Diceros bicornis minor: one gene and its partners. The protein of the gene in region 2 binds, or shares a complex with, the protein of the main gene of each other region. Links are inferred from orthologs where the notes say so. Each region holds a gene or a part of one and is shown on either strand. Other genes may lie near its edges.

What was found.
Region 1: CASP8 (region 2) and ZBP1 share a complex: the UniProt entries of both Homo sapiens proteins name them as parts of the AIM2 PANoptosome complex. The link is inferred for Diceros bicornis minor from reciprocal best matches to the Homo sapiens genes CASP8 and ZBP1.
Region 3: CASP8 (region 2) and interferon-inducible protein AIM2-like share a complex: the UniProt entries of both Homo sapiens proteins name them as parts of the AIM2 PANoptosome complex. The link is inferred for Diceros bicornis minor from reciprocal best matches to the Homo sapiens genes CASP8 and AIM2.
Region 4: CASP8 (region 2) and RIPK3 share a complex: the UniProt entries of both Homo sapiens proteins name them as parts of the AIM2 PANoptosome complex. The link is inferred for Diceros bicornis minor from reciprocal best matches to the Homo sapiens genes CASP8 and RIPK3.

What each region holds. Positions count from the first base shown.
Region 1 is NC_080758.1:5,918,590-5,926,453, reverse strand, and holds the start of ZBP1 (Z-DNA-binding protein 1), read right to left. Parts: upstream 3,016-7,864; 5' UTR 1,242-3,015; coding exon 605-1,241; intron 1-604.
Region 2 is NC_080749.1:79,144,954-79,151,773, reverse strand, and holds the start of CASP8 (caspase-8), read right to left. Parts: upstream 3,010-6,820; 5' UTR 2,900-3,009; intron 715-2,899; exon of another isoform or gene 653-714; intron 1-652. UniProt on the Homo sapiens protein: Thiol protease that plays a key role in programmed cell death by acting as a molecular switch for apoptosis, necroptosis and pyroptosis, and is required to prevent tissue damage during embryonic development and adulthood.
Region 3 is NC_080743.1:63,954,316-63,961,985, forward strand, and holds the start of interferon-inducible protein AIM2-like, read right to left. Parts: upstream 3,004-7,670; 5' UTR 1,699-3,003; intron 1-1,698. UniProt on the Homo sapiens protein: Sensor component of the AIM2 inflammasome, which mediates inflammasome activation in response to the presence of double-stranded DNA (dsDNA) in the cytosol, leading to subsequent pyroptosis.
Region 4 is NC_080744.1:23,680,810-23,687,900, forward strand, and holds the start of RIPK3 (receptor-interacting serine/threonine-protein kinase 3), read left to right. Parts: upstream 1-4,085; 5' UTR 4,086-4,203; coding exon 4,204-4,265; intron 4,266-4,406; coding exon 4,407-4,547; intron 4,548-4,667; coding exon 4,668-4,977; intron 4,978-5,442; coding exon 5,443-5,588; intron 5,589-5,712; coding exon 5,713-5,759; intron 5,760-5,965; coding exon 5,966-6,133; intron 6,134-6,240; coding exon 6,241-6,308; intron 6,309-6,562; coding exon 6,563-6,865; coding exon of another isoform or gene 6,866-6,919; intron 6,920-6,981; coding exon 6,982-7,091. UniProt on the Homo sapiens protein: Serine/threonine-protein kinase that activates necroptosis and apoptosis, two parallel forms of cell death. Necroptosis, a programmed cell death process in response to death-inducing TNF-alpha family members, is triggered by RIPK3 following activation by ZBP1.

The DNA of each region.
Region 1 (7,864 bases), on a different chromosome or scaffold from region 2:
CACAGGGGAAGGGACGAGGATCCACCAGACAAGGGTGGCCCCAGCGCACGGGCGTTCCAAACTCGGATTCTAGAGTGAACAGACTTGCCTTCAAATCCGGCCCTGCCACTTTCCTGCTGTGCAGGCTCCCTGCTAATTAACCTCTCTGGGAAGAGGGAAGAACGCCGTCTACCCACCTCCGGGGTTGGGTGCGGGCAGGGTGACCCCCGGGCTCCGCACCGGCCCCTGCGAGTACCTGACAATGGCAGCTCTTTGAAGAGCTGGAAAGGAGGATCTAGCGCCATGCTAAGTCTGTTCTGTTATTATTATCTCTATCGTCGTTGTTGTCATTACCATTTTCTGTTATTACTATTAATGTTTTACTCTGCACCTACTATGTGCTGGCACCAGGCTGAGCCCTTTGCATCTAATCCTCTCGCAACCCTATGATGCAGCCCTACTGTCATCTCCGCTGGCCAGAAAAAGAAGTCAAGGCATGGTGAGGGGACCTCACGCGCCCCCAAGGGGCAGAGCCCCTGCTTGAGCCCAGGTCCGAATCCGGGCTGTCCACTGCCAGGACTCATGCAGGGTCCGACCCCCCCATCCCGCCCCGGAGGCAGGTTACCCTGGCAGGGCTGGGCCCGCTCTGTGGGAACCACTTCTCCAGTCTGACCCTCGCCCAGGCGCCATGTCGCGGGGCCCTCGAGGTGGACTTTCGCCTCCTCCTTCATCCGGTAGAGGACTTGGTTGAGTCTCTTCTTGGGCACTTGGCAGTCCTTGGCCAGCTGGGCAGCCTTCACCGGGGAGCCAGCACCCCTCAGCACCTGCAGGATCTTCTGCTCCAGGTCTGGGCGACAAGAGGGGCAGAAAGAGAACCGAGTCCCCCCACAATCGATTCTGGGCTGGGGGGGCGAGGGAGACCCCCCGAGAGGGGTCCAGGGCAGAGACCCGAGCAGACATCCACCTCTGTTCAGTGAGGGGCACTTGGGCTGGTCAGAGGTGACCTTGGCTGGACAGCCTGGTGGCCAGAGGAGGTGCCTAGGCCTTCCGAGTGTGCTCCCCCTGTTGTGAGTGCTCGAGGGCAGGTGGGAACTCTCAGCTCTCAGGCTCAGCTCTGAGAGGTCCTCAGAGCAGAGGGGAGTGGAGGGCGGCAGGACGGGGGAGAGTGAGGCGGGAGAGTGGGGGGGGGCGGGGGAGGGAGAGGCAGGCCTGCTGGGCTCTGAGCCCCCCAGGGAAGCTGCCCCTCCTCTGGGGCTCATCATCCATGTCAGTGGTGTCGCTATTCATCCAGCCAGAGACCCAAGAGACATTCAGAAACGGCTCTTTCTCCCTGATGCCCAAACACGGAGTCCTGGAAATCCTGTTCCTGGCTCTCCTGAGTCCCTCGTCTCCTCTTCTCCACCTCCTCTTCCCTGTTCCTCGTCACCACCTCAGGTGACAGCAATTCCACCAACTCTAGTCGGGTTCCCTGCGGTCCACTCTCCACTCGGCAGCCAGAACTGGCTCTGCCGACCACCCCGCTTCGTCTTCACCCACCTTCAACTTCCCTCCAAGTGCCAACCCGTCTGCGCTCCTTCCAGCCCCACTCACCACTGGGCCTTTGCACATGCTGTTCCCTATGTCAGGAACACTCTTCCCCCCTCTCCACCTGTCCAGCGTCTACTTAACTTCCAGGTCTCGCTCAGATGCCATCTCCTTTGGGAAGCTGTCCCGGATGCCCTGAGTGGGTGGGGTGCTGTTTGTGTGTGGGTCCCCTGCAGAATGTCCCCCAGGATTCCCTGCTGTGACTGCCTGACTCACGGTAGTACCTATGATGTCTAGCACAGTGCAGGGCACACAGTAGGTTCTCAGGAAATGGCCCTTGAAGGAATGAGTGACCAGGCAAATGAGTGAGTGAGTGGATTTGCCCACTCCTGGGACGGATGTCTGCCCACATGACCTGGAGCAGGGTAAGGCGGCTCCTCTTGGGCCTCTGTTTCCCCATCTGAGGTTAACACCCCTCAGCAGGATCTCGTGAGGCTCAAGGAGGAACTCTCTGAATGGCCTCTGCTCTGCGGACAGGGTCCCACAAGCCTCAGCCAGCTGCTCCTCCGGGGGTGAGAGGACAGGGCCGCGGGGCTGGTGAGAGCCTGTGGGCAGCTGCCCAGTCTGCCGCCAGCAAATGTCTGCCCCCAAGAACCCCGAGGGGGATGCAAAGCAGGGCCCTTCTTGGCAAGACCTGGGTCCCCTTCCGGGGCAGCAGCTGGCCTTCGCCTTCTGGGTTTTTCCGGGGTCCTTGGTGGCAGCACTATTGGGGAAGGGCTAACCCACCTGACTCGACAGCTGGGCGCTGTGGCTCGCCCTGCGGTCAGGATGTTTCCATCCTTGCAATTAGAGGTGCCATTAGAACACCTGGCGGCACCCGCCCTGTCACCCCCCAAATTCTACCCCAGCGGCCAGGGGATCCCTGTCCAACTAACTACACACCTGGCTCTGCATTTCTTTTTCTGTGTGTGAGGGAGATTAGCCCTGAGCTAACATCTGTTACCAATCCTCCTCTTTTTGCTGAGGAAGACTGGCCCTGGGCTAACATCTGTGCCCATCTTCCTCCACTTTATATGGGACGCTGCCACAGCATGGCCCGACAAGCGGATCGCTGGTGCGCGCCCGGGATCCGAACCTGCGAACCCCAGGCTGCTGAAGCAGAGCGCGGGCACTTAACCACTATGCCACCGGGCCAGACCCTGGCTTTGCCTTTCTTGAAAAGAGTTTTGATTCTTGGAAAGCCTGCCCCCGGGTAGCCTCTTCCCCTCCCTCCTCCTCCACTGCCCTGACCACAAAGGGCAAGCAGGCTTGGGGAGCAGGTGTGGGTGAAGGCCAAACCGGAAGGGCGGGGCTGGCCTCCTGCACAGAGACCTCAGTGACCGGAAGCTGTGACATGGACCAGGTGTGAGCGACAGGTTGGTAAAGAAAGGGAGAAGCCAATGGGGAAGAAGGTAGATGAGGTTACCCAGTGCCCTGGACTCCTACCTGCACGGCACCCCTCCCCAGACCCCTCCCCGGACCCCTCCCAGGACCCCTCCCGGGACCCCTCCCCGGGACCCCTCCCTGGCACACCTCCCCGGACCCCTCCCCTGCACCCCTCCCAGGACCCCTCCCCGGCACCCCTCCTTGGCACCCCTTCCCGCAGCCCTCCCTGGACTCCTACCCTGCACCCATCCCAGGACCCCTCCCAGGACCCCTCCCCAGACCCCTCCCCTGCACCCTTCACAGGACCCCTCCCCGGACCCCTCCCCGGCACCCCTCCTTGGCACCCCTTCCCGGACTCCTACCCTGCACCCCTCCCAGGACCCCTCCCCAGACCCCTCCCCTGCACCCTTCGCAGGACCCCTCCCCGGACCCCTCCCCTGCACCCCTCCCAGGACCCCTCCTCGGACCCCTCCCCTGCACCCCTCCCAGGACCCCTCCCCGGACCCCTACCCTGCACCCCTCCCGGGACCCCTCCCTGGCACCCCTCCCCGGACCCCTCCCCTGCACCCCTCGCAGGACCCCTCCCCAGACCCCTCCCCTGCACCCCTCCCAGGACCCCTGCCCAGCACCCCTCCCCAGGACCCCTCCCAGGGCCCCTGCCTGGCACCCCTCCCCAGCACACCCTCTTTTTCTCCTTTTTGTTCTCTGATGGCTGGTTTCCAGGGTTTGAGCCTCAGCTCTGCCATCTCCTAGCTATGTGACCTCTCTGGGCCTCAGTTTCTCCATCTGTGACATGGGAATAATAGTATCAACTTTAAAGCTTGTGAGGACTAAATGAGCTAATGATAACAAACAGAAACCGCCCTCGCCCGCAGCCCACACTGTGGCGCCCTTAGCGTCAACCGTAGAGCACGGCCGCGCTCGGTGCGCGGCTGACTTTCACCGGTGATTCTTCCTGGAGGAAAGCGTCATCTGAAGACAGAATGCTACGAGGGGAAAACACGCACATGCGCATCTTGTCAAAGCGGCTTCCGCTGTTTCTCAAAATGAGTATGAGGACGGGTCGGCCGTAGGCCCTGAGTCATCCCACCCGCAGGGCCGGCGGTCTCGAGCTCATTCGGAAAATGGAAACACAATTGCGCTCACCGCTGAGCGTCACTGTGAAGCGCACACCAAGTGTGTTGCAGGGTGCCGAGGCAGAGGAGCCCTCCGAGGGGACGCTGTGCTCTCCTCCTCGTCACTGCTGTGCTTGAGGGGACCCTGCTACCTTCGCCGTGATCTGGGCCAAGAACCAGAGAGAGAAGTACAAGTCCCACGGGGGAGCTCCCACTTCCTTGGAGGGAAGAAAGTACCTGTTTCGGTGGGGTCAGCAGGGGCCTCGGCCATGCCGGCAGCAGCAGCTGGGAGCCCGGGAGCCTGGGGGGCAGCGGCCGGCTCCTGCATCGCGGCCTTGAGGGTGGGCCACGGTGATGCCGGCTGTCCTGGCGTGGCCGAGCCTCGTGCTCCGGCAGCTGTGAAGGAATGCCAGCTTCAACCTGGCGGTGTCAGCTGTGCACACCCCGGAAGCGGAGCCCAGGAGCCAGCCCTGACCAGCCTTCTAGAGAAAATGAAACTTCTGTGTATGGCTTTCGAGAGAAACAAAATCGAAAGCAGAACTGATGAGCAAGTCCGAGCAGGCCTCCGTCTAGATATTGGTAGGGAAGAGCTGGGCTGGGCAAGACGCAGCATCCCCCAGGGCCAGGAGGCTTCCCCGACCTTCCAGGCGCCCCCACTGCCCACCTGACCCCCACACACGGAAGAGACAGCTGGCGGTGCCCTGTGAGGGATCGCGTGCGTGTCCCAGTGCATCTTTCTTTAGTGAGTGTCTACTATGTGCTCTCCAATCTTTGTGTCCCCCTGACCCATCTACAGGGTGGGGGCTGGGTCCGGCCTCTCTTCTCGGGGTCCGGCCTCTCTTCTCGGAGGGGAAATCGAGGCTCGGGTGGGTGAGGTCATTTGTCCAAGGCCACAGAGATGCTTGGGTTCTAACCCAGCCCCACCATTTACTGGCTTTGTGACCTTGGGCAAGTATGTTAACCTCTCTGTGCCTCATCTGTAAAATGGGGCTAATAAAAGTAGCCACCTCAGGAAGACTAGGGGGTTAATCCAGTTAAGCAGTCTGATCACAGCCACCAGGGCCATCTACAGTCACGAGCACGGTTGGGACCTGTTTCTGGAAAAAGGACCCATCTCTTTCATAAATCCTCAAAGGGGCTGAGCAGTTCAGAGCCTCTGTTCTCTTCCAGGGAACAGAAGGGGAAACTGAGGCCCCAGAGCTGAAGGGCTTTGGATGAGGCAGCCGAGAGGGTCAGGAGCTCAGCCCCCAAAGACCCGGACTCAGGGTCCCCGCTGCAGAGGCCTGGGAGGGCGAGCGGATGTCCTCGCGCCCTGGGGGACCCTCGCCCCAGCGTTTCTGCACCCGGAGGGGCTTGGGAACAAGGGCAGCCCTGGAAAAGGGTCCCGGAGGAGGCTCGTCTGGAAGCTGTCTCCGCAGAGCAAGCAGGACAAACTCAACGACGAGTCCCCACCCAGACCCATTAACTCCGAACCTCTGGGGCGCGGCCGAGCGCCCCAGGTGATCTCACGCCGTCTGAGGCGGAGAGCTGGACAACTCGGTAAAAACAGGAAACCACAAGGATGCTTTTGTTCCCCTTTTACGTAAAACCAAAGAATCGGGTATCTCTATATGAACTGAAAATATTAATTTTAAATGCGGGTAATTGGGGGTGTGGAGGGAGATCGTGGGGGCGCCCTCGGGGGGGCTCCTGCTGAACCCAGCGGGTGGCTTGGAGCTGTGCCGAGAGTAGCCACCAGGTGGCGCCCGCTCACCAACCGGCCCGGGGCCTGGAGCCCCGTGGGGCCTCCGCACTGGCTCGCTGACCGTCCCTCGGACCTTCCAGCAGGAACCACCACGCCAGGAGGGCCGAGCGCCCGGGAGGTGCCGCCTGGACAAGGACTCGGCCTTGCCTTCTTCTTCAGGGCAGGTCTGATCCGAGCTTCAGCCCTGCTTCCCCAGCTGTGTGTCACCACCTCTCTGAGCCTCAGTTTCCTTAATTATGAAATGGAGATAGTAAATAAGAAAAACCATGTCTATCTGACACTAGGTAGGTGCTCACAAAATTTGCGTAAGTTAGAAAATGTGATGTGATGTGTCTCCACAATACTTTAGGTGCTAGGGGGAAAAAAAAGAGCAAGAAAGAGAAAGAAGGAACAATTTAATGCAAGTGGTTCCCCCTTCCAGAGCATTCTGTGATATGTCTGGAATTCACGGAAGCTGTGAACCTGCTGTGAGCATCTCACCACACTGAGCGGGATTCTCACTTATACAGATTTGGATTATCTTGTATTTCTCTTCTCAATTTAAGAGATTTTCAAGGTAATTTTGACTATAAGGATTGTCTTCAACCCAAATATCAGTGGCTTAAACAATACAGAGGTGTCTTTCTTTCTCCCATAACAGTCTGGTAGGTGGTCCAGGTCCATAGTGTCGAGACCCAGGCCCCTTCTATCTTGTTGCTCTGCTGTTTGTGGCCTCTGTTCTCAGGTTGCCCTTATGTTCTAGGATGGCTGCTCAAGCTCCAGCCATGATGTCTGCATTCCTTCCAGTAGGAAGGAGGAAAGAGAAGAAGGGCAGGTACCTTTCCTTTAAGAACACTTGCAAGTTGCACACACATTCCACTGACATCCCCTGAGTCTTAGGGCCTGGCCTATCTGCAAGGCAGTCTGGGAAAGATGGTCTTTATTCTGGCCCACCATGCAGCCAGCCAAAATTGGAGGTTCTATTACTTCAAAATACGGGACAACGGATATTGGAGGATTATCTAGCTGTCCCTGTGAGGCTGTGTTGTCCCCTGAAGGAAGGAGCAAGGATACCCCTCTGTGCCTTGAGGTGTGTCCATTCACGGGGGCCTGTCTATCGAACAGGCCCAAGGCTGAGCCCCACCGAGGCCGAGATCAAAGGCAGGTTCCATACTCTCAGGACCTCCTATCCAGTGTAGAAGGCAGACGAGGACAGGGGGGGAGGGATACTGGTGCCCCCTCACTCCCCCGGGATGGGCCTCCAGGCCACAGGAGTCCCAAGATGGCGCCTCCAACCCCCAGAGCCCGAATCTCTCTTTGCTTGGAAAGCACACTCCTTTTTCATGGCTTGTGTTTTTCTGGAAACTATTAGAACTCTCCGCCCAAACTCAATGATAATTACATGTTACTGATCTTGAGTCTTTAAATTTCTCTTTCTCTCTCCTTTAAAAGAGAGATATTTTTACTGCTCATTGTGTTGGCAAAGCCCAGTCTCCTTCTACCAGGCAGCGTGGATGTTATTTTCACATTTCCTCGGTGAATTCACCTCAGGGGGGAAGTGGAAATGTCTGAAGGCACCAAATGTGGGTAATGACCTGTTTTGTGTCAGGGGCAAAGGCCCGAGAACCAGAGGTGGCCAGAGAGAGCGGGGGATGGCACGAGGTCACAAGAGCTACCAGCGGAGGGCGAGGGACACGACCAGGCAAGGGCCAGCCCCGGCCCTGCTCGCTGCCCTTCACGGCAGAGCCATTGACGGGGCTCCGCCGGTCACCTGTGTCCCCTGGAGTCAGGCAGACCGGGGCTCTGCTCCCAGAGCGAGGGACTCCTCTCTCTGAGCCTCAGTTTCTCCCTTTGACAGAGGTAATCACAGCAGCACCTACCTCTGGGTTGTTGCAGGAGTTGAATGGGATCGTGCCCATGAAGGTGCTCACAGAACGCTGAGCGAGTCGTATCTTCATCATATGATCCCAGCCGTCCCCTCTGAGGTAGCAAAGCCACCCCGTTTATTCATCCCGTCATTCACCAAATAATTCCTTGTGCCTTCTTTTTCCCTGGCCCCCTCGCTGGGTCCTGGCTCCGCTTTGCGCTCTGGCTGCAA
Region 2 (6,820 bases):
CCCCAGAACCTGGCAGCCGTCCACCCTGCACACAAACACGGTCAAACACAGGGCCCTGCAGCCAGAGCTTTCACAGCCTAGTAAAGGTGTTCAAATCTCAACAAAACTTACAGCTGACCTGTAATTTTCCAACTGGATGATATTCATAACTTCACCTCTACATACTTGTACCTCACAAGCACAGGTCTCTGATTTTGTCAGTCTGTGCTTGCCATTCTACTATTTTCTGTACTGTTCTGTACCTTTTTAATTTCTTTTAAAAAATGAATAATTGAATTATTAGGACTGTGTGCATGTGTGTGTGTCTGTCAGTGGGTATGTGTTGGCAGATGGGTAAGCATAGCAACAAAATCAGTTGAAATTTAAATTTCGGTTTCTATTCTTTGACAAATTTGGCCAGCATAAGGATGAGGGTTCTATACGGATAGCTATACTTGGAGCATTCCAGAAAAGCCTCCAGGAATTCATCAACCTGAGCTGGAGGGGCCCTGAGAGCTGGAAACTGTGGGGTGCTCGCCGTGGCTCTCAGAGAAAGTGCTAACACTCATGGTTTCCCCACCCACACTCAAACGCAAGGATCACCCAGATTCCACCCTCAGCAGCCTAGAAAACTCTAGAATCCAAGGCCTTCCTCCCCGAAGGCCCAACTGACCTTATGAAAGCAAATCCTGGGATCCTCGAAGCGGCAGCAGCTTCTTCGCAGGCCTCTTTCTGCTGGCGCATCCAAGACAAGAGTAAAAAACAAATGAAGAACCAAAAGCACAGCTCGCTCTACTTCCTGTTTTAAAAACTCCTGAGTCAATAGGCCGAGTGAGGTAGGCTGGCCTCAGAGCAGCGCCTCCTTCCAGAGCTGCCAGAGAGAGACCAGGTGCAACAGGCCACAGCACGCTGGGTTGGGAGCCCGGCCACCTGAGCCCTGGCCTGGCCGTGTGACTGTGGACGGGTCATTTCACCTCTGGGGCCTCATCACCACAATCCAAATAGGAAAGTTGGACTGGATGTTAACTAAGAACCCCCTCTTTTCATATGTCAGGAATTTACAGATTTTCTGGGTTCATTACTAAGACTTCAATGTTTTCATTCAATAAATATCGATTAAGCACTTCTGAGAGATCTTGAGATCTGGGAACTGTGGGGCCCTCACCACGGCTCTCAGAGGGTATGCTAACTCCTACAGCTAACTCCCGCGGTTTCCCCAGCTACGCTCAAATACAAGGATCACCTCTATGGCCCTGAGGCCACCAGATCCCACCCTTAACAGCCTAGAAAATTCTAGAATCAAAGGCCTTCCTCCCATAAGGCCCAGCAGACCTTACCAAAGAGGGGCCCTGGAGATATAACCACGAACACACATTAGCCCTGCCTTTTTGCTGTGAGTTGGTTGAAATGTTTTCTGATATTAAAAGCAGAAAAAAAAGAAAATCAAACACCTCTGTTTTTTGAAACTGCCTTTTTTCTTTTCCCAGATGGAATATAAGCTTTCAGAGGGCCGAGACCCATGTTATAGTTGAGAGGATGAAATGAGGTGTCTGCAAGTGCCTCTTCACCTTAGCGGGCAAGGTAAGGGTGCCATGGTAACATTGACGCCCCTCACTACCACTTGAGTCTGCTCGTAAAGCCTGTGTGAGAACACAGCAAAAGAATGAAAGCCTGCAGGGGCTAAATCCTAGCCCAGGAGCTGTTCCCTGACTCTTTCTTGATGCCTCCTGAGCATCCACCCCAGCATTTGTTCCACTCTTTTGTGACTAGTTCCTGTCCTGGGCTGTGAGCTTCACAGGGCAGAGACCGCATCTTTCATGTCCATGTTCCCAGGACCTGCCATGGGAATAGCAAGATCCAGAACGTACAAAGGTTTCCTGCAAATCAACAAGAAAAGAAACCCAGTAGAAGGACAATGGATACAACGTGGACTTCCCTGATAGGGATGCTCAAATAGCCAAAGTGTACCAAGGGATGCTCAAACTCATCAGTAACTGGGGAAACACGAAATAAAGCCAGGAAATACCCACTTTATACCTATCAGATTGACAAAGATTTGCAAGTTGGATCAGACCAAGGACTGGTGGCCAAGTTCTTACATAGTCCTCATATAGGACTGGGGAGACTGTCCATCGTGTAATACCTTGTAGTGGTTAGGAAGTGGGACCTGGCAAAATACATAGAATTTAGAGGGCAGAGTGCTTACTTTTTACAAATAATACTCATATGCAATAATAATTGCTAACACTTACTGGGTACTTCGTAGTGCCAGTCACTCTTGTAAGTGGTTAACACGTATTATCTCCTCCAATCCTCACAACCACCTCAGGAGGTAGCATTAATTCCATTTAATGATGAGGAAACAGACATCAAGAAATACTTACTTGCTCCAGGTCACAGAGTTTAGATATAGTGTACACACACAAAACAACGATACATTTTGCAAAGACAGATCAATTCAGGGATACTTATAAAAGACGCAGAGAGTGGTCATTGGGGAGCCAGTGAGTGGTGTCGGAAGTGTGGTGGGGGTAGGGCGATCAAAGAAATTGCTTAGAACGGGGTGGGGGGGGGAGTGTTGCAGGCTGGGAGACCAAGGATGACAGGCCATGGGGTCTGACAGAATGATTAACTCAACCCTCTGTCCCAGGGCCCAACGGAAAAGAAAACAAACATAAACGGGTTAATGAAGTCTTGTGGGATCCAGCAGGAGAGAGACACTGTCTGTACTGAGGCAGCTGGGGAGACTGTGAACAGAAGTGCAGCAGAGGAGCTGGAGATTCCTCAGAGTTAGCAAGGCCGGTGGCTGTGGTTCAGAGAGAAACGCCATTCGGACGTCTGCGCCCTGGCAGGCCCGGAGGTGTCTCCACTCGGTCGGGAAACGCAGTCCCCAGAAGCCGTGTCTGCACGAGGCACTCACCTGCTCCACTCTGTCCCGGCAACATCACAGTCACCAGGTCCCCATGCCAGACCCCTGACCGGCCTAGTTTCACACACAAATTCTTAAGGCTTGTCCACACAGCCACAGAAAAAGCCCGTGAAACAGGGAGGGAGGAGGGGAGCGGGGACGGAAACGCCTCCAGGAAGAAGATTTCCTTTACTTTCGATCCCTCCTCCGGGCTCTTCTCCTCCCCCAGCGGACTCATTTCCTGTTTCTCTGTTCTCCACATTCAGAATTTACTAGCAAATCCAGCGGGGCTTTAAAAAAATCACAAGAGACAAAGGGGAACCTGCGAAAACATTGCCCTCCAGCAGAAGGGCAAAATCTGGTCTCGGCAAGAGAGAGAGAAAATTCCTCAACAAAAAGAACTAGAGAATAAAGCTGATTCCTAAAACTGGAGATCAGTGACTCATTCAACAAGAAATGTTTCTTATTATGGTGCTGAGTTCCAACCATTCAGAGGAGGAGATGACAGACAGTTCGTCAACGTGCAAACTGAAAACCAGGAAGCTGGACATGCTTTATTGGAAAGCATTTGTCCTGACTACATTTACTATTAATAACCCCTGTAATTTTTAAAGACAGGCTTGAGACTGCCCATGGCAAGTATAATGCCATTTTCCCGTGACAGGCTGGGGAGAGGAATTGTCCCTCTGTGCCGTGGCCCAAATCTCTGCCCGGATACCATGGACCAGCCGTGAGATCCTATGTCTGAGCTCTCCTTGGGTAAGAGCAGGCTTCTGGCTGAAATGTGGGGAGACTGTGCACAAAAAGGGTGGAGTGGGTCTGGCCCAGTCCTGAGTAGGAGTAGCAACAGTGTTCGCATCCCTAGCCAAGCTCCCAAGAGCAGTAGTAAGCAGTGCCTGTCCAGGGCCGAGGCTGGGGTGGTGTAATGTGGAGATCTGCCCCCCAGACCTGCCCAGGGGCCCTCACCAGTTTTTCTTCATCCTTCGTCCCCTCCCCACTCTCTGCTTCTGTTTCCAGTTTCAATTATTTCAAGGGTTTTCTGCCCTTTTGTTTTCACATCTTGTACATTTTTTTAAATTATTTTATTGAGGTCATATTGGCTCATAACATCGTGTAAATTTCAGGTGTACATTATTATAGTTCAGTTTCTGTATAGACTGCATTGTGTCCACCACCAATAGTCTAGTTTTTATCCCTCACCCTGCATACGTGCCCCTTTACTCCTTTTACCCTCCCACCACTCCCTTCCCCTCAGCCACGTGCAAAAGAATGAAAGTAGACCATTATCTTACACCACACACAAAAATTAACTCAAAATGGATTAAAGCCTTGAATGTAAGACCTGAGACCATAAAACTCCTAGAAGAAAATATAGGCAGTACCTTCTTTGCCATCGGTCTTAGCAGCATCTTTTTGAATACCGTGTCTACTCAGGCAAGGGAAACAAAAGAAAAACTAAGCAAATGGGACTACATTGTCTTGTACATTTTGTAACCAAAACACTGACAATAATACAGTACTGTCTTGACATGAGTACAGCCATGTTTGGCCGCTCCATTGACCTACAGCCACCAGCACAAAAAGAAATATAAAAGCTGCTTTCTGTGTGGTGGGAACTGGCCTTTTCCCGGGAACTGGCCTTTCTCCCACAGAGAGAGTTGCAAGTTGTAACATTTCAAGGCTCTTGGAGCGTCGTAGCACGGGATGGACTGGCCATCTGTGCCGGGCTGAGACGATAACCAAAGAGAACAATGCACGTACACAACTACTGGGCCGGGATGTTAGCCAGGAGGCTCAGTGCACGTACGCCACTGATAACCATTTTGTACATGGGAACACTAAATGCTTGCTCTGCAAACTCTGTAATTGCTTACTCTGAAAATTACTGATGGTATAAAAACTGCTGGAAACTGAGCCCCGGTGAGAGTTCCACCTGTGGAAGGGACACCTTGCCCAGGACGTGTGATCCTTGCCCAGCTGCGTTGATTGACAGGGCTCTCCCAGCAGTGCGTGGATGTTGTAAGTAATTGATTTGATATGAAGTAATTGATTTGATGTGTAGTAAGTGATTTGATGTGTTCTCTTTTCGGTCAACCTGGTGTTTCTCTTTCTGGTTGATTTGTGTCATTTCTCTTCAGCCAATGTGGGTGTTTTCCCTTTCCACTCGGGCTGATGTTTTTTCCCTCTTAATATTTGACCTATTTGGATCTGTTTGCAGACTATCGCCTTTACTATCCTCTATATAATAAAATATACCTTCAGTCCATTTGTTTGGAGTGGAAAGTGTCTTTTACGTCTCCGATCGAATCCCCGAACCTCTCGTAACAAGTACCTATATGTTGTACCCTTTACGTGGGTTATCTCTAACTCTCACAGCAATGCAGGGGGTTGTTCTCCCATGTGATGGATGAGAAAACTGAGGCTTAAACACATAGACTCAAACTCAGTCCTCTTGGACCAAACACATGGATTTTTCCACTGTAGCACACTAGCCCCCCTTCCTCAACACTTAGGATGTGAAGTGAACCGCGTAGATGGAAAAGCAATAAATTTAAACTAAGAGGGAGTGACCTATGCACAAAGTTCAGACAGTCTTTGGGTTCTCAGTCACCTAAGAAAAAGGAGCTGGTCTAAGGGCACTAGCTAACATTTATCAAACATTTTGTGTGCCAGACACAGCCGCCTAAACTGGCTCACTTCACCTTCCGAACAATTCTCAGAAGTGGATGCTATTTTTGCTCCCATTTTGTGGGTGAGGAAACCGAGGCTTGGAGAGGTTGAAAGACTTGGCTGAGTGCGTTCAGGTAGTGAGTGACAGAGTGAGGTCTGTTTGTCTCTAAGACACTGACCAGTTAGTCACTGTCTAAGTATTCATACACAACCATGGTTCTCGATTTGACTGATCTGAGAATTAACTGAGGAGGCTTAAAAAAAACACCAGTCTTCAGGTCCCAGCTTTGGAATTCCCACCCAAGCAGAATTAGAGGAGATGAAACAGATGGAGCACTTAGCGTAGTGCCTGGGCCTTCGACAGTTCTCAACAGATACTCACTACCACTGTTACTTTGGCTCACGACGTCTGTAAGACTGCTTGGATTATGAGACATATTGTACAGATAAGGAACTAAGTTCGTGTCAATCAGCTGACAAGTGGCCAGGCCAGTGCAGGAACCCAGGAAGGTCTCACTCGAGGGTTTGTGCTCATCTGCTGTCCACACCCAGGCCCAGCCTGGCAGAAATGGATGAACCCCTGGAGGTGCTGAGGTTGGGTTGCGGGTCTCAGGACTTCCACTTGTGTCATCTGTAAGGGATTGATCCTTGGCTCTCCTGGTCTTAGCTCTTTTTAAAAAGGAAGATGAATAATTAACAAGTGAATTGGAACCTTAAGTTGGTTAAGTTCCTATTATGATCCGCAAGGATCATTATTAATTCACTTGCTCTTACCAGTGTCTTGGTGCCATCTTGAGATATGTCTTTATATCAAAATGAATAACATAGGTGGTCTGTAGGTCCCGGGGAAGCTGGGAGACCTGGAGGTGCTGCAGCAGCAGCAGGGCCTGGGGGAGTGCCCACCCAGCGCAGGATGAGGACAGCCTGGTGGGACTTAACTGCCCAGTGGTTTCCACCCTCCTGGATCTCCACTCCCACCTGGAGGCCTGCTCCAAAGAATCTCGTCTCCATTTGGAGCTGTCTATCTCCCTAAGGAAGCCAAGAAGGATTGAACCTCCTCTCACCTGGCTGCAGCACACCCGTCCTATTATCTTGGATTTGAACCACAGGACCTTAGTCAAGGATAAATACCGACAGTGAAACAAAAGTCCCCTGACAGTGCATGCTCTTTCTTTCATTGCTTCCTTATTAATTTGTGTATAACTGACCCACAGTCCAGGTGGTCTGGTGTGTGGATTCGATTAGGTCCCTCCTGACCCCTCT
Region 3 (7,670 bases), on a different chromosome or scaffold from region 2:
AGCATAAGATAATGAACACTTGCATACCTATCACTTAGATTCAAGAAATGTTAACATTTTGCCTGAACTACAAATATTATAAGGCATGTGTTTATCTATACAAATTTATTGCTGAACCATTTGAAACTAGGTTAGATACTATGATATTTAGCCACTAAATACTTCAGCATACATCTCCTATAATAAGAAAAAAAATCCAAATAGCCTCAATACCTTTATCACACCTCAGAATATTATCAAAAATAGCCTGTTATTGGGGCTGGCCCTGTGGCCTAGTGGCTGGGTTCAGCACGCTCCACTTCAGCGGCACAGGTCTGGTTCCCAGACACGGACCTACACCACTCATCAGCAGCCATGCTATGGTGGCGACCCACATGCAAAATGGAGGAAGATTTGCACAGATGTTAGCTCAGGGCAAATCCTGCTCAAGCCAAAAAAAAAAGAGGAAGATTGGCAACAGATGTTAGCTCAGAGTGAATCTTCCTCAGCTTAAAAAAAAAAAAAAAAAAAAAAAAAACCGGTTATCCCATATCCAAGCCACAGTCAAATTTCCCAAAGCAAACAACAGATGTTTTTATTTTTTTTTTATTTCAGTTTATTTTTTTGCGAGGAAGATCAGCCCTAAGCTAACATCCATGCTAATCCTCCTTTTGCTGAGAAAGACTGGCTCTGAGCTAACATCTATTGCCAATCCTCCTCCTTTTTTTCCCCCAAAGCCCCAGCAGATAGTTCTATGTCATAGTTGCACATCCTTCTAGTTGCTGTATGTGCGACGCGGCCTCAGCGTGGCCAGAGAAGCAGTGCGTCAGTGCGCGCCAGGGATCCGAACCTGGGCCGCCAGTAGCGGAGCACGCGCACTTAACCACTAAGCCATGGGGCCAGCCCAACAGATGCTTTTATAGTTAAGTTAGTTCTTTCAAACTAGAATCTAATCATGGCTTATGCACTACCTTTGTTTTATATCTTTTGTTACTTTTAAACCAGAACAGCCACACACACACATACACACACACGCAATGCTTTGTTATCCCCATGACATCAGTATTTTGAAGAGTCTAAAATGATCACCTTATAAAATTACCACATTCCTGATGAGTTGTTTCTCCTAGTGGTATTTACCATGCTTCTATGTGTCCTGTATTCCCTATACACTGGAACTCTAGACTAGAAAAGTCTTGATTAAACACAGATGAAACATTTTAGGCAAGGGTATTTCAAAGGCAGTGCTGCTACTTCATATTGTATTACACCAGGAGGCACACATGTCAAGCTGTCCACTATCAGTGAGGCAGGGTTTGATGAGAACAGTTCTGTCTATTTTAAAGGTGCATTTAATCTTTTGCAAAGAGCAAGTAATCTGTCGGGTGATACTTAGGCCTCATCCAAATATTCTATTTCCTAACAAACAAACTTTCACCTAATGGTTTCAAAATTCATTGATAATTTTTGCGTGAATCAATTATTTCAGGATAAGCAAATAGTGATTTCTAGCAGTATCGCTCCTTCTATATTTATTAGCTGGCTATCTTCTGCAATATTCACAACAGTTAAAAGGCAAGATGGTAGTCATCTGGAATAGTCACCAATATTCTGGCTTTTTCTTCCTTCTGAGTACATGATGGAGTGTATTAGCTTTTGCTCCAGTTACAAACAATCTGAAATCTTAGCGGCTTATAACAACAAACATTTCTTGCTCACCGTTCTGTGATTTGTCTTGGCTCAGCAGTGGTTCCGCTGGGCTTTGCTCCAGGCTCTAGATCAGCGTCACACGTCTCTCAAACCAGGAGCCTGAACGAAGAACTAATGGATCCTGGGAGCCTGCCCTTCCATTGCTGTACGGTAGAGTGCAAAAGAGAAGGTGAAAACATGAGACTCCTTTTATAGCCTCTGCCTGGGAACAGGATGCTGTCACTTCCGCCCACATTGCATCAGCCAAAGCAAGTTACAAAATCAGGATGGCGGAAGACTCTGTTCCTGGGGCAGAGAACAAGAGAAAATTATTTCCTAAAACAACTACACAATCTGCCACAGCTGGATTGAACTTTCCATCCTCCTAAATTTGGACATGGCCATATAATTTGCTTGGGTCAGTGAAATATGAGCAGACACGTGGTGTATTTTCCAGCACCTCCTTTCCACTGCCACAGAGACCAGCGAAATTCTAAATTATTGAGTCACCATCACTTTGCATTCCTAAGTGAGGATAGCAAGTGAGTTAGAAGAACACCTGCTAACCCAAGACTGACAGGTAGTGAAAGTAAAAAAAAAACTCGCTCCGGCCGGCCACAGGGCTTAGCGGTTAAGTGCACGCGCTCTGCTACTGGTGGCCTGGGTTCAGATCCTTCCTTTTTGTGGCCGTTCCATCTTCAAGACTTGGTTTCCAGCATCGCCACTGGCATCAATATCCCGTGAGAAGACAAGAAAAAAGAGAGTGGAGAAAGTGTATTTGCTTGTTAACCACCTCGGCCTGTGCACACATCACATCCACTCACCTGCCCCATCCAGATACAAACCAGTCTGGAAAGATGGTTTCCTGGTGGGAAGCATGAATTTTTGGTGGAAAGTCATAATAGCTCCAGGAGGGTTTGTCAGAATCCTGTCGTGAGAATACTTGTTTAGGTAAAAAAGGCACTGGGAAGCAATTCAAGAAAAAAAGTCACAGGCTGCCATCTCTCAAAAACCCTAGCTCCAGGCAGAACAAATTGGCCTAGGTCACAATTGTGAAGCCATTTGCAGAAGACCTTTGCTCTCTTTCTTAATGTCTTGCTCCCCTCTGGAGTTCTATTGACAGGCATTTAGTGCTTTCATGGTGACTCCAAGCTCTTTGGACACCTCTAGTGGCAATTCTGCTCTGTTCTCCCAAGACATTACTAGGTGACCAGCTGATCAAGAGCTAAGATGGCCACAGCTGAATTGGGTCTTGTCTTTGATACATTTGCACTTTAATATTTCTGATTTTTATAACCTAGGGACTGTAGAAACATAGAATCTCATGGAATGATTTAATCATGTTACCACAGTCCAATTTAGGAGAAATTTGATAGGCAGCTCGTCCTTTAGAAATCCCTCAATCATAGCACACAAGCTTCCATGTACAAGTAAAGTCAACCCACTAATAAAATACTAATAAATAATAAGAAAATACCAAACTAATAATATCTCTGTCGTTACCATGGTTCTTAATACTTTACAAAGCCCTTTAATATCCATGTACAAATCAAATCAACAGTATTAAATAGGAAAAACATATTATCTCCACTTTACTAATGAGGAAACTGAGACTTAGATAAGCTAAGTGACTTTCCTGAAGTCACAAGGCTAGAAAGGAACAGACTAAAGACTAAAGCCAAGATAGTTTGACTCCTCGTTTAGTGCTCTTTCATAATTCTGGGAAAATGGGCCCTTTCCTGTGATGTCCAGTATTTCTAGGGCTTTTAGAAGTCTCTGTCTTCCAAATTATCTTCTAGTAAAAAAGTAGCCTGGTTTAACTGGTTTCCAACCCGGTCTTACATTTAAGATTTATTTCCTTATTTTCTCTTTGACACATGTATTAGCTCTCAGTTCATGTTCTGATTTTCCTTTTTCTCCATCTTGAATATTTTTGGATGGTCAATTATCTGAGGGAAGAAACGTTCATATTTTGATTAGAGTTACATCACTGATATCACTGCATTTATTTCTCAATCCATAGAAAGCTTTTGACAATTATTGCTTTGCTTCCCACTCACCCTTGCCAACTTGCACCCCAGGGCAGTGATTCATTCTTTCCCTCCTTTTTTTTTGAATCACGAAAGCTGATTGAACATGCAGTAAACCAAGAGCATGGCAACGTGACAGGAAAGCAAGTAAGGGCCTCTAACCTGACACATACAGTTAAAAGCAGACTGTAGTTAAAACCACAAGATGGGAGTTACTTCCTTCCCAAATGCCCACGCAAATCTGGTCTGTCACACAGCAGGGCTTGCGTGTATTTGCCAATAACAATACTTAGGAGAAAATATACCTCATTTACTCCATTTTCTCAGATTCTCTACTTTGTTCGAGATACTCTGTTCAATCCTCATCCCATCTCCCTGCCTCTTTCTCACATCCCTAATTCTCTTAAATAATTTTCTCGCAATCTCTGTCCTTCCTTTCCTTTCATTGTCTTTGCTCATTTTGTTTTCCAGAAATTCTTTCCTAATATTCATGCTTGATCCTGACATTCCTGCTTATTGCTTCCTCTCACAATTTAACATATCATGTCTCTAGAAGTTTTTTCTATGATAGTTTGTTGCTCTAAAATTGAGGATGAATTTATAGAACTGGAGTTGGCAAACTACAGGCCAAATTCCACCTGTGGTCCATCTTTGTAAGGATCCCAAACTAAGAAGGGTTTTTACATTTTTAAAGGATTGTAAATCGAAATAAAGGTTCCACAGAGACAGAAGGGCCCAGAAAGCCTAAAATATTTACTGTCTGTCCGTTTACAGAAAAAGTTTGCCAGCATCTGTTCCAGACTATAAAAAACTTCAGGTCTCTTGCCTATTGCCATCCTCAGTCATCTTTGTTATTCTTTGAGATTTTCTCCCCAGTTTAAAGCAGAGAATACAGGATTACAGGACAACCAGCTGCAAAAAGGCACTAGAACTGAAGGCCCTTATCTTTTTCTTTATGTGGCATGACCATTACGAGAAGAGTTTAGGATTTCTTTTTATTTCAATTTATTGTTTTGGGGGTAGAGTATTTTTGGTCATAGAGAACAACTCAGATCATCGCCTTCACATTCCCAATGAATCAGGGGATCCACTGGAGAACCAATATGCCCTTCTCTCCAGCCCAGGAAAGAAAGAGAGAAATAGGTGAGGTGGCACTGGCATGCGAGGAAGCAGGAAGGTTATGCAGGAGAAAGGTCTGAATAATTTATCCTCCCTGTGAATCCCAGGTGGTGGCAACTGAATCTCCTGAAGCCACACCAAGACAGAGACAGATTTTAATATTTGAATGACACATTTGAATGAGGCCTTCTCACTCTGCTTCTGACGCCCCCTACTGGCAGAGGGAGGTGTGACTGGAGAAGTAAAGAGCCTGGGAGGCCACAATAGCACTGTCCCCAGAGACCAGGATAATGGCATGCTGGTGTGCTGCCATGCCTGGCTGCTTCTCTGAGACAAATATCAGAGCCAGGGTGTGTGTGAGTTTGTAACAGCACATCCTGGGAAAGCCTCCACTAAAAATCCTGACCGTCATGAGGGGAAATATGCTCTCTGCCAGCAAAATAGGATGAAAGCAGAATAACAGATTACCAACAATAACACCAAAGCAAGCTTTACAGCCAAGACCTTCTTAAGTGTAGGCACCTACTAGCTGTAGAACAGGCTAAATTCGCATGTTTAGCCAAAGGCTGTGAGAGTAGATTTAGGAGACAAATATAAAAACAACAACAACAATAATAATGTCAAGGGAGAAAGACCTTTTGCTGGCCCGGAATGTCATTATTCCTAGAATGTAAGAAGTCCATACAGTGATTTTCATTTTTTAATAAACGTTTATTAAGCCTATGTGAACTGTTACTTTACAATCTAAAGCTCAGACAGGAGAAGACACTTGTTCAGGGCCACATGGTTATCAAGGACAAGACAAAGAACAGAAGCACAAGGAGAGATACCGGAGATAAAAGTAAACATCTGTGACTCTGATTCTCAAATCTGCCTCCTGGCAGCTGTCTAGTTTGGGGCAAGTTATTCAACTCTCTGAGCCTCAATTTTCTCAACTCTAAAGTTGGAACAATATCTACTTCTCAGGGATCTTCTGAGGATTAGAGGTTATTTTTCTAATGTGATTGGTTCATGGCTGACCCTCTAGAGGAAAGGAGGACACAGAGAAGGGAAGGTGTGTAGGTACCAGGCACTCTCATTACAGGAAGCACAGGAGCACGGAGGCCTGAGCATCAGGACACCAGATTTTCAGGCAGTTATATCCACATTTCCACGTCCCTTGAGGATAAAAGATTAGAAAACATAGTTCTTACAATCAGTCCTCCAGTGACTATGGGAATTCCTAGCTACAAAAAGCATTTCAACTCTGGGGCCAGGAATTCTGAGCAAAACATTTGCAAGTCAACCCTCTCCCCTCTATTGCTCGATGGGCATTCTAGACCCTCAAAACTGTGTGCGTGAGGCAATGTCCCCTTCCTTTTCTGCCTCTAACTTTGAATCTCTTCTTTTCTGACATTCTCAGCCTCCTGGAAGCCTTCTCAACACATTCACGTGGTAAGAGATATTCTTGTCTGAGAATGGGGGCCAAGGAAAGAAGAAATGAACCAAAGAGGAAATACACAACCAAAATTGCACTGGCCTGGAAGTCACCACCCATTTCCTGCACTGTGGCTATCTCTATAAAGGTGACCAGGTAATATCTCTGCCTCCAAGTTTGCAAAGTCTCTGGTATTATCAGGAATGAAAACATAACCTAAAATTGGTAGAATCACTTTAGAAAGAATATGGTATACCCTGGTGAAGTTGAATAGGCATATAATCTATGATTTAGCAATCTTACTCCCACGTACATAATCTGAAAATTGTTGCACTGTGATATACAAGAATATTCTAGCAACGTTGTTTATAACAGAAAAAAAAACCACTAGAAACAACCCACATGTCAATCAAGGGCAGGATGTATTAATAAACTGTGGCATATTCACACCATGGAGCACTATGCATCAATGAACATAAATGAACTGCTGTACATCTAAGAACATGGATAAATCTCAAAAAATATGATGAGGAAACAAAAGAAACACAAGAGAATATGTTTCTATTTATATAAAGTTTAAAAACAGGCAAAATTAGGTAACATTATTTAGAGATAGCTATATGTGAGATAAAACTATAAAGAAAGCCAAAGGGATGATTGGTTACCTCTGGGGGCTCGGAGGGGGTTGCAATTGAGGAAGTTCACCCAAGAGTTTTCAAAGGAACTGGCAACATTCTCGTTTTAACCTGGCTGGTTGGAACTTGAGTGCTTATTTTATGATTACAATTATGCTGTTTAAACTGTTCATATATATTACACACACCCTTGGGTATGAATAATTTATTTCACAATAAAAACATTAATGTAACCCAAATATGCACAGGGCCCTTTGGGTAGCCTCTGCATCACTCTACACTATCTTGAGCCCAGTCAGAGCACCAGTGTCAGCCTTGACAAGGAACATAAATTTTATTAAAAGTTTTGCCGAAGATGGAAACGAGTGTTATATATTGTGCAGCACACGGCAAAACTAAAACTTTCCTTTTAATCATCTCCATTCTTTCTTTTTTCCTACATTGCTTTACAAATGCTCTTTCCCATATATCTGTCTCCTCCGAAATCTTTAAGAAGCTGCTCTATAAACTACAACTATCAATTCTTCCCACCTCACGCCGTCAACCAACCTGGTCAGCTCTTGTCCCCAACGCATGATTTGAAGGCATTTATTCATACAGAATTTTGAATCTCATCAAAAAACTACTGACTACCATAACAAACTACTTTCAGAAAACAACAACAACAAAAAAAAGAGATGAATAGGAATCCATCTGTGCCAAAAAGGAATAAAAATCCAAGGAGTACTGACAAATAAGAGACGTGTTGCCTATCTCAGTAATGAGCAAAATTAGCTTCACTGTCATTAGGAGCAGAATAGG
Region 4 (7,091 bases), on a different chromosome or scaffold from region 2:
AATTTCTTAGTCCTTGCTCATTTTTCTATTCCATCTTTTATTTCTTTAAACATTTGACAATAGCTTCTTTTGAGTCTTCATCTGATTATTCCAAACTCTGAAGCCCTTAAAGATCTAAACCTGTTGATTATAGTTCCTGCAGATTCTCCCTCATGGTGATTTGAATCTTTATATATTTAGTAAATTTTTTTGTGTGTGTGAGTAAGATCAGCTCTGACCTAACATCTGTGCCAATCCTCCTCTTTTTGCTGAGGAAGACTGGCCCTGAGCTAACATCCGTGCCTATCTTCCTCCACTTTATGTGGGATGCCACCACAGCATAGTCTGACAAGCAGTGCATCGGTGTGCGCCTGGGATCCGAACCCGGGCCGCCAGCAGTGGAGCGCGTGCGCTTAACCGCTACACCACGAGCCGGCCCCAGTAAATTTTTTTGTGAGTTTATATTTGCCTGAATTTGATCCAGAAACTTGGATTAAGGATGCTTTCTTCTAAGGAGGATTCAGTTTGCTTCTGCTGGACTCCAGGGGGCATTAATAATCTGGGGCCATTTAAATCTTTCAACTTATGGTTTATTTGATCAAAAGGAAAGTAAAAATTCCAACTACAGATCCGTGTGAGAGCAGATCTCACAGGGAAACTAACATTTTCATTAATTTTAACATCTAGCGCTGCAGCCTAGACAGGTTCCCTTGCAGGTTCCCTCCACAAGCAGGTGGACTTTTTCCTTTCCACAAAAAATGAGGCCCCTTTGAGGGCCCCAGCTTGTCAGGGAATAGGCGTGTCTTATATTTAGCTCCTCCATCTTCCTAGGCCCTAGGGCCTACTCTTTGGTTCTCCCTTAATCTCCCATACCCTCTACCCAGTCCCCAAAGCTCTAGGTTTCTAATTAGTTGACCTCTCTATTTACCTTCTTTTTTAACATTTTTCTATTTTGTTGGTTTCAGGGGGATGCCCTTAGGAGATTACCTTTATTTTATTGGGAGCTCACTAACAAATTTAAAAATACATGTTTATTGTGATTTATATAGCATTTAGGTATTCTGCTATGGGAGGCTTTTGAGCTCTCTGTCACACTCCTGGAAGAGAATTTTTAAAACAAACAAAAAATATGATTATATGGGACATACTGTTTTATAATCTGTTTTTTTTCCCACTTGATATATGATAAACACCTGTCATATTAATAAATATAGGTCTAAGTCATCATTTTAATGGCTACATAATCTTCCATTGCATAATTTTTTCAGTCTTTTTCCTATGATTGAATAGCTAGGGTTTTATTTTTTCACTATTTTATTTATTAATATTTTTTTGTGAGGAAGATCAGCCCTGAGCTAACATCCACGCCAATCCTTCTCTTTTTGTTGAGAAAGACTGGCCCTGGGCCAACATCCGTGCCCATATTCCCTCACTTTATATGGGACGCCGCCACAGCATGGCCTGACAAGCGGTGCGTCGGTGGGCGCCCGGGATCAGAACCCGGGCCACCAGCAGCGGAGCGCGCACACTTAACCTCTATGCCACAGGGCCGGCCCCATTATTTTTTCACTATTTTCAACAACACTTCAGTGAATATCCTTATAACTAAATCTTTGCACATATCACAATCTTCTCCCTTAACTGTTTATAAAAGTAATGCATGCTAATATAAAATAATCAAACACTCTGGAACATGAAAATCCTCCATAATCCTTTTTACTGTCACCTCAATTAATACCATTTGGTCTATAATTAGAATCTCTTAATCAAACAAGAGATGAGAATTAGTTAGGGCTAGAATACGCAAGAAGAGAGACACACCCTCTGTCCCCCCACCCCGACAGCTAGGGAGAAGGAACCAGAGCAGGTCCTAGGGATGGGCTGAAAGTAACCAAAGACAGTTGGGAGCAGAGAACTGAAGGGATGAGAGACACCCAAATAGACTCCAAAAGCCTGTGACACCTGGGGTCACAGGGAAGGCCAGAGCTCCAAAATCCAGGAATCAACTCTGCCTTACCAGTCCCCTCCTGCAGAAGCAGAGGATCTTGTCAGGCACTCATTCCAGGCTCCTCTCCCTGCCCTTCCTTCTTCTAAAGGCGCTTGGTCTATTTTGAGTCAAAAAATAGTACAGGCTCTGACACTAGCCGCAACCCTATGCTTATAGTAGCTGACCCCTGTCCCAATCTAAAGAAATCCAGCCATAAAAAGGCCTTTAAACACCCTTCTCTCTCCTGTCTGCCTGTTCCCCTCAAGTGGAGACTAGGGTCTTCTCCCAAAGAGAATCATGAAAGGAATGGCTGCCCCCTCTGATGGCTCTTAGCTCCTGACTAGACTTTTTGAGGACTGCCATTGTATTCTGTGAGATACGCCATATCTCTAGAGTCAAGTCTACTTCAGACAGATTCTGTCAACTGTGCAGATGCAGTGAGAACCCCCAAACCATAAAGAAGCCCAACCTCCTCTTTCCTCCCAATGAGCACGGAGCTCCAGCTGGGGTGATCAGCGTCTTAAGGAAGCTCCGAAAGTTTTGCTCGTTCCTTTATTAATTCAATTCAACAAATATTTATTGGTATCACCCACATACTGGCTTTTAAGGAGACTACAGTCTAAGAATTACAGCTTGGACTGATTCCACCAGAATTCACGTTGTGGATCCTGGAGTTCTCAGGTGCTCTAGAAACCACAGTTAACTGCTGGCCACTTTTGCTCCAACCAGCAGAGCCCGTGGACCACTGGACAGAATGAAAAGTGCATACCAAGGCGAGCACCTTCCAGTGAAGCTGGCACACGACCTGTATGGTTGGGTCTCCTCGTGAAACACTGAGCGTCTAGGGGTGGCCGTATCTAGTTCCCACAACCTCCAGCCATGGTCAGGCTTTGGGCACGTAAAATATGGACACTTTTTGTCTACCCTAAATCCTTAAGGCTCCCCAAGCTCCTGAGTTCTTTTTTTTTTTTTAATTTTTTTTTTAATTTTTTTATTATTTATTTTTTTATTTTTTTCCCCCAAAGCCCCAGTAGATAGTTGTATGTCATAGTTGCAGAGCCTTCTAGTTGTTGTATGTGGGACGCGGCCTCAGTATGGCCGGAGAAGCGGTGCGTCAGTGCGCGCCCGGGATCCGAACCCGGGCCGCCAGCAGCGCAGCGCGCGCACTTAACCGCTGAGCCATGGGGCCGGCCCTCCTGAGTTCTTAAAGGCCCTTGTCCAGAGCATATGCCTGTCGGGAACGTGTATTAACCAGGGCATTTGCATGGAGGAGTTGGCATGCTGGGAGAGGGCAGGGAGGCGCTGAGGTGTTTCGACTGCAGTGTACACCACAATGTCAGCAGCCCTCTAGCTGAGCTAGTTCATCTGACCACAATGCCCTGGGAGTAGGTCTTGGTCTTGCCAGCAGGCAAGTCACTACCAATGCCAGGGGCTTGCCAGCAAGAGCAGCTGTCAGGGACTGGGCAGGAATACACACAGGGACCCTTCACTACACTGTTGGATGCGTCACACCGTCCTCAGCCCCCTCATGACCAGCTGAGTGGTACAGCCCTGAAGCCTGTGTGAGAATAGGAAAACTCGGTGGTTCAGAGCCAGACTCTGAAGTCAATTCATACTGGCTTAGGCAGGATACTTAAACTATCAGTGCCTCCATTTCCTCATCCATGAAGAATAAAAACAGTACCAATCCCCCTAGGGTTGATGTGAGAAGTAAATAAGCTAATATATGTACCTGGCACATGGCAGCCTTTATAGAAGTGTTGGCTATGATCTTAGGGCAGCTATAGGAGAGCTGAGCCCTAGGACCACAAAATCCTCCTCAGCACCATCCCCTCCCCCCCGCCCAGGCCTGGTGGGTGCTGGAGCTGGGAATCCTGTGGGAGAAGGGAGAAACGCTGACTATAGGAGTGAGGTGATTGTGCGTTCCTGGAAGGTGAGGACTCCTTCCGTGGTACCCCAAATGCCCAGTGACGCCTAACCTGGCCGAGGCACACAGCAAGTGCTCAAGGAAACACTGGTTAAAAGAAAGAAGCACTAGCTTCCGTTTTACACTACCCCCTCCCACTACTGGGGCGGGACCATAGAGGCGCCTGTCGGAGAAGGAAGTTATTAACTCACTCGGTGCAGGCACATCGACCCGGGAAGCGGAACCGTGCAGTGGCCTAGAGATTGACCCCTCTCCCGATCCCCTCCCCCTCTCTGCCACAAATCCCGTTCCCAGAAGTCACTCCATCCTCATGGGCTCGAAACTTCCAGAAGCCCCTCACCCTTCCAGCCTGATGTCTTGCGTCAAGTTGTGGTGAGTGGAGAGTGGGAGGCCAGGAGACAACTGACAGTGCCAAGTCCCCGGAATCACGGGGCCAGGCGGGGGTGGGGGTGTGCAGGGGGCAGCGTGGACTTGGGGCCATGGCCAGCTGGTGGACGAGGCTCTCTCTCTCAGGCCTAGCGGAGCCCCAGCCTCCCTGGTGCCCATCGAGGAATTGGAGAACCCGAAGTTGGTTGGCAAAGGCGGGTTTGGCACCGTGTTCCGGGTGCAACACAGGTCGTGGGGTCATGATGTGGCAGTCAAGATCGTGAACTCGTGAGTGACCCAAGCTTCTTTGGAGCCAGTTGGTGTCTGGCCAAGGAGGTGGGGCCTGAATGGGAAAGGGAGGGGTCTTCCCAGGAGCAGAGCCAACTCCATCTCTGTCCTGGGGTGTAGGGAGGCGATATCCAGGGAGGTGAAGGCCATGGCAAATCTGCGTAACCAGTACGTCCTGCTCCTGCTGGGGGTCACCGAGAAGCTGGAGTGGGACTACGTGTCCGGGCCAGCTCTGGTGACTCGATTCATGGAGAATGGGTCCCTGGCAGGGCTGCTGCAGCCCCAGTGCCCTCGGCCCTGGCCGCTCCTCTGCCGCCTGCTGCAGGAGTTGGTGCTCGGGATGTGTTACCTGCACAGCCAGAACCCCGTCCTTCTGCACCGAGACCTCAAGCCTTCCAATGTCCTGCTGGACTCAGAGCTGCATGTCCAGGTCAGCCCATCCACACCCTAGCCCAGCCTTTGGACAAAGTCTTGCTCCTGAGATGCTCCAGCCCTTCCCCCGCTTAATGGGACACAGGACCTGCTGCAGCTCTGGCTACTGAATAGCCTCAGCATCTCCCTCTGGACACAGGGCTGCCCAAGTGTCACTCAGGAGCTTTATCTCTGCCATACCAGGTGATAGAGGCCCTGACCGACACAGTCAGTTCCACAGGCCCACCTCACCAGGCCCTCCAGAGACCCATGACTAACTTAGCCCAGCAGACTCAGACCTTGACCCAGCCCTATGGAGAGGGGACCCAGACTTCCAACCCAAGGGCCCCACTGGTCTGACCGTTCCCTAGCCTTCCATACTCCCTTTACAAGGCTGGATCTGCATCTCCTGGCAGGGAGGGAATTCTGGAAGCTGGTTGGCACTGTCCATCCCCTACCTCCTTCTTCTTCCCTCCTTTTGCAGCTGGCAGATTTTGGCCTGTCCACGTTTCAGGGAGGCTCACAGTCAGGGGCAGGATCAGGGAAGGCAGGGGGCACCCTAGCCTACTTGGCCCCAGAACTGTTGGCTGATATAAACCAGAAGGCCTCCATGGCCTGTGATGTCTACAGGTAAGTACTCACTGCAAACACATGTCCCCAATTTCTACACCTCTCTGGGCCCTTCTAGGGGAAGGTAACGGGAGAGGAGTCTTGCCAGTAGTAGGGCCAAGCCTCAGCTTTGTGTCTTGTGCAGCTTCGGGATCCTAATGTGGGCAGTACTAGCTGGAAGAGACCATGAGAGTAAGACTTTGGACAGACTCTGGGATCCTTAACCCCGGGTACCTCCTCTCACGAGCCCCCAACCCCTCCTCTTCCTGCTTACCTGCTCAGATTGTCCTCCTCCCTCACCTCCCCTTGGACTACACTCCTTGCCCCTTTCCATGATGGAACAGGTGGCCCCTCGTATCCTTAATATCTTCTCTGCACATCGTCCATCCCAATCCCAGTAGTGTCCCAGATATCGCTGGTGAAGGCAGCAGTGTGTGAAAGGAAGGTCCGGCCCCCCTTAACTGAGCTGCCCAAGCCCGGCCCTGAGACTCCTGGCTTGGAGGGACTGAAGGAGTTAATGCAGCACTGCTGGAGCCATGAGCCCAAAGACAGGCCCTCCTTCCAAGGTGAGCTGGCCATCTGGCAGCTGGGGTAGGCCTGGATCTGTCTACAGGGGGCTTTTTCCTGGAAAAGAAGTTTTGCTCCCCTACCACCCACTCTGCTTTCTCTCCAGACTGCCGTCCAAAAATGAAGAAAGCTTTCCTTCGGGTGGAGGACAAGATAGAAGATGCTGTCTCCATGGTGAGTACCCAACACAACCCCCCGCCCCCTAGAAGCTGGTCAGAGATGGCAACATGGCTCCCTTGGCCACCCAATGACTCCCCTGGCCACCCAATGACTCCCCACTGACCACTGTTCTTTATGCCTTGACCCTCCTCTTCAGTTTCCCCACCCCACCCCTGAGTTCCCAGGCAACAGACTGTGGACCAAGAGACTCCTCCCTTGGCTACTCAGCTCCCCCACCTCCACACCCAACAAGCCCCCTGTCCTTGCAGGTGAAGAAGTTCATGTTTGAGCACAGGAGCAGCAACAGGACGATGTTTACCCCTGAGCCAGGCCCAAGAAAGACAGAAATGGATGGCCCTGGGCAAACCACAGGAAGCTGCAATACTGTGGCTGAGATGTTGAACAACCTGAATGTGGAGGGGTTCCCCAACTCTGTTCCTGAAAAGTGTACAAACACTCCTGAGAGGATCAGGGCACAAGGAAAGCAGGTTCAGCATGACCGGACAGCAGGGACATCTGACTCAACAGCTCAACCTCCCCAAACTCCAGAGAACTCACCTTTCAGAAACCAGGTACTCAGCCCCTCCTCAGCTTGGACCCCAGGTCCTGGACCCCAAGGGAATCAGGTGAGACATTGGCAGGACTAGCGGATACACTAGGACTCCTGTGAATCCTGTCCCCTTGCCAGGGGAAACTTGGGGCTGAGGTGGTGTGCGATGGGGGAAGAGACCTCAGGACAGGGAGCCCGAGAGCACTGTGTTGTTCACAGGGGGCTGAGAGACATGGTACCCACTGGCC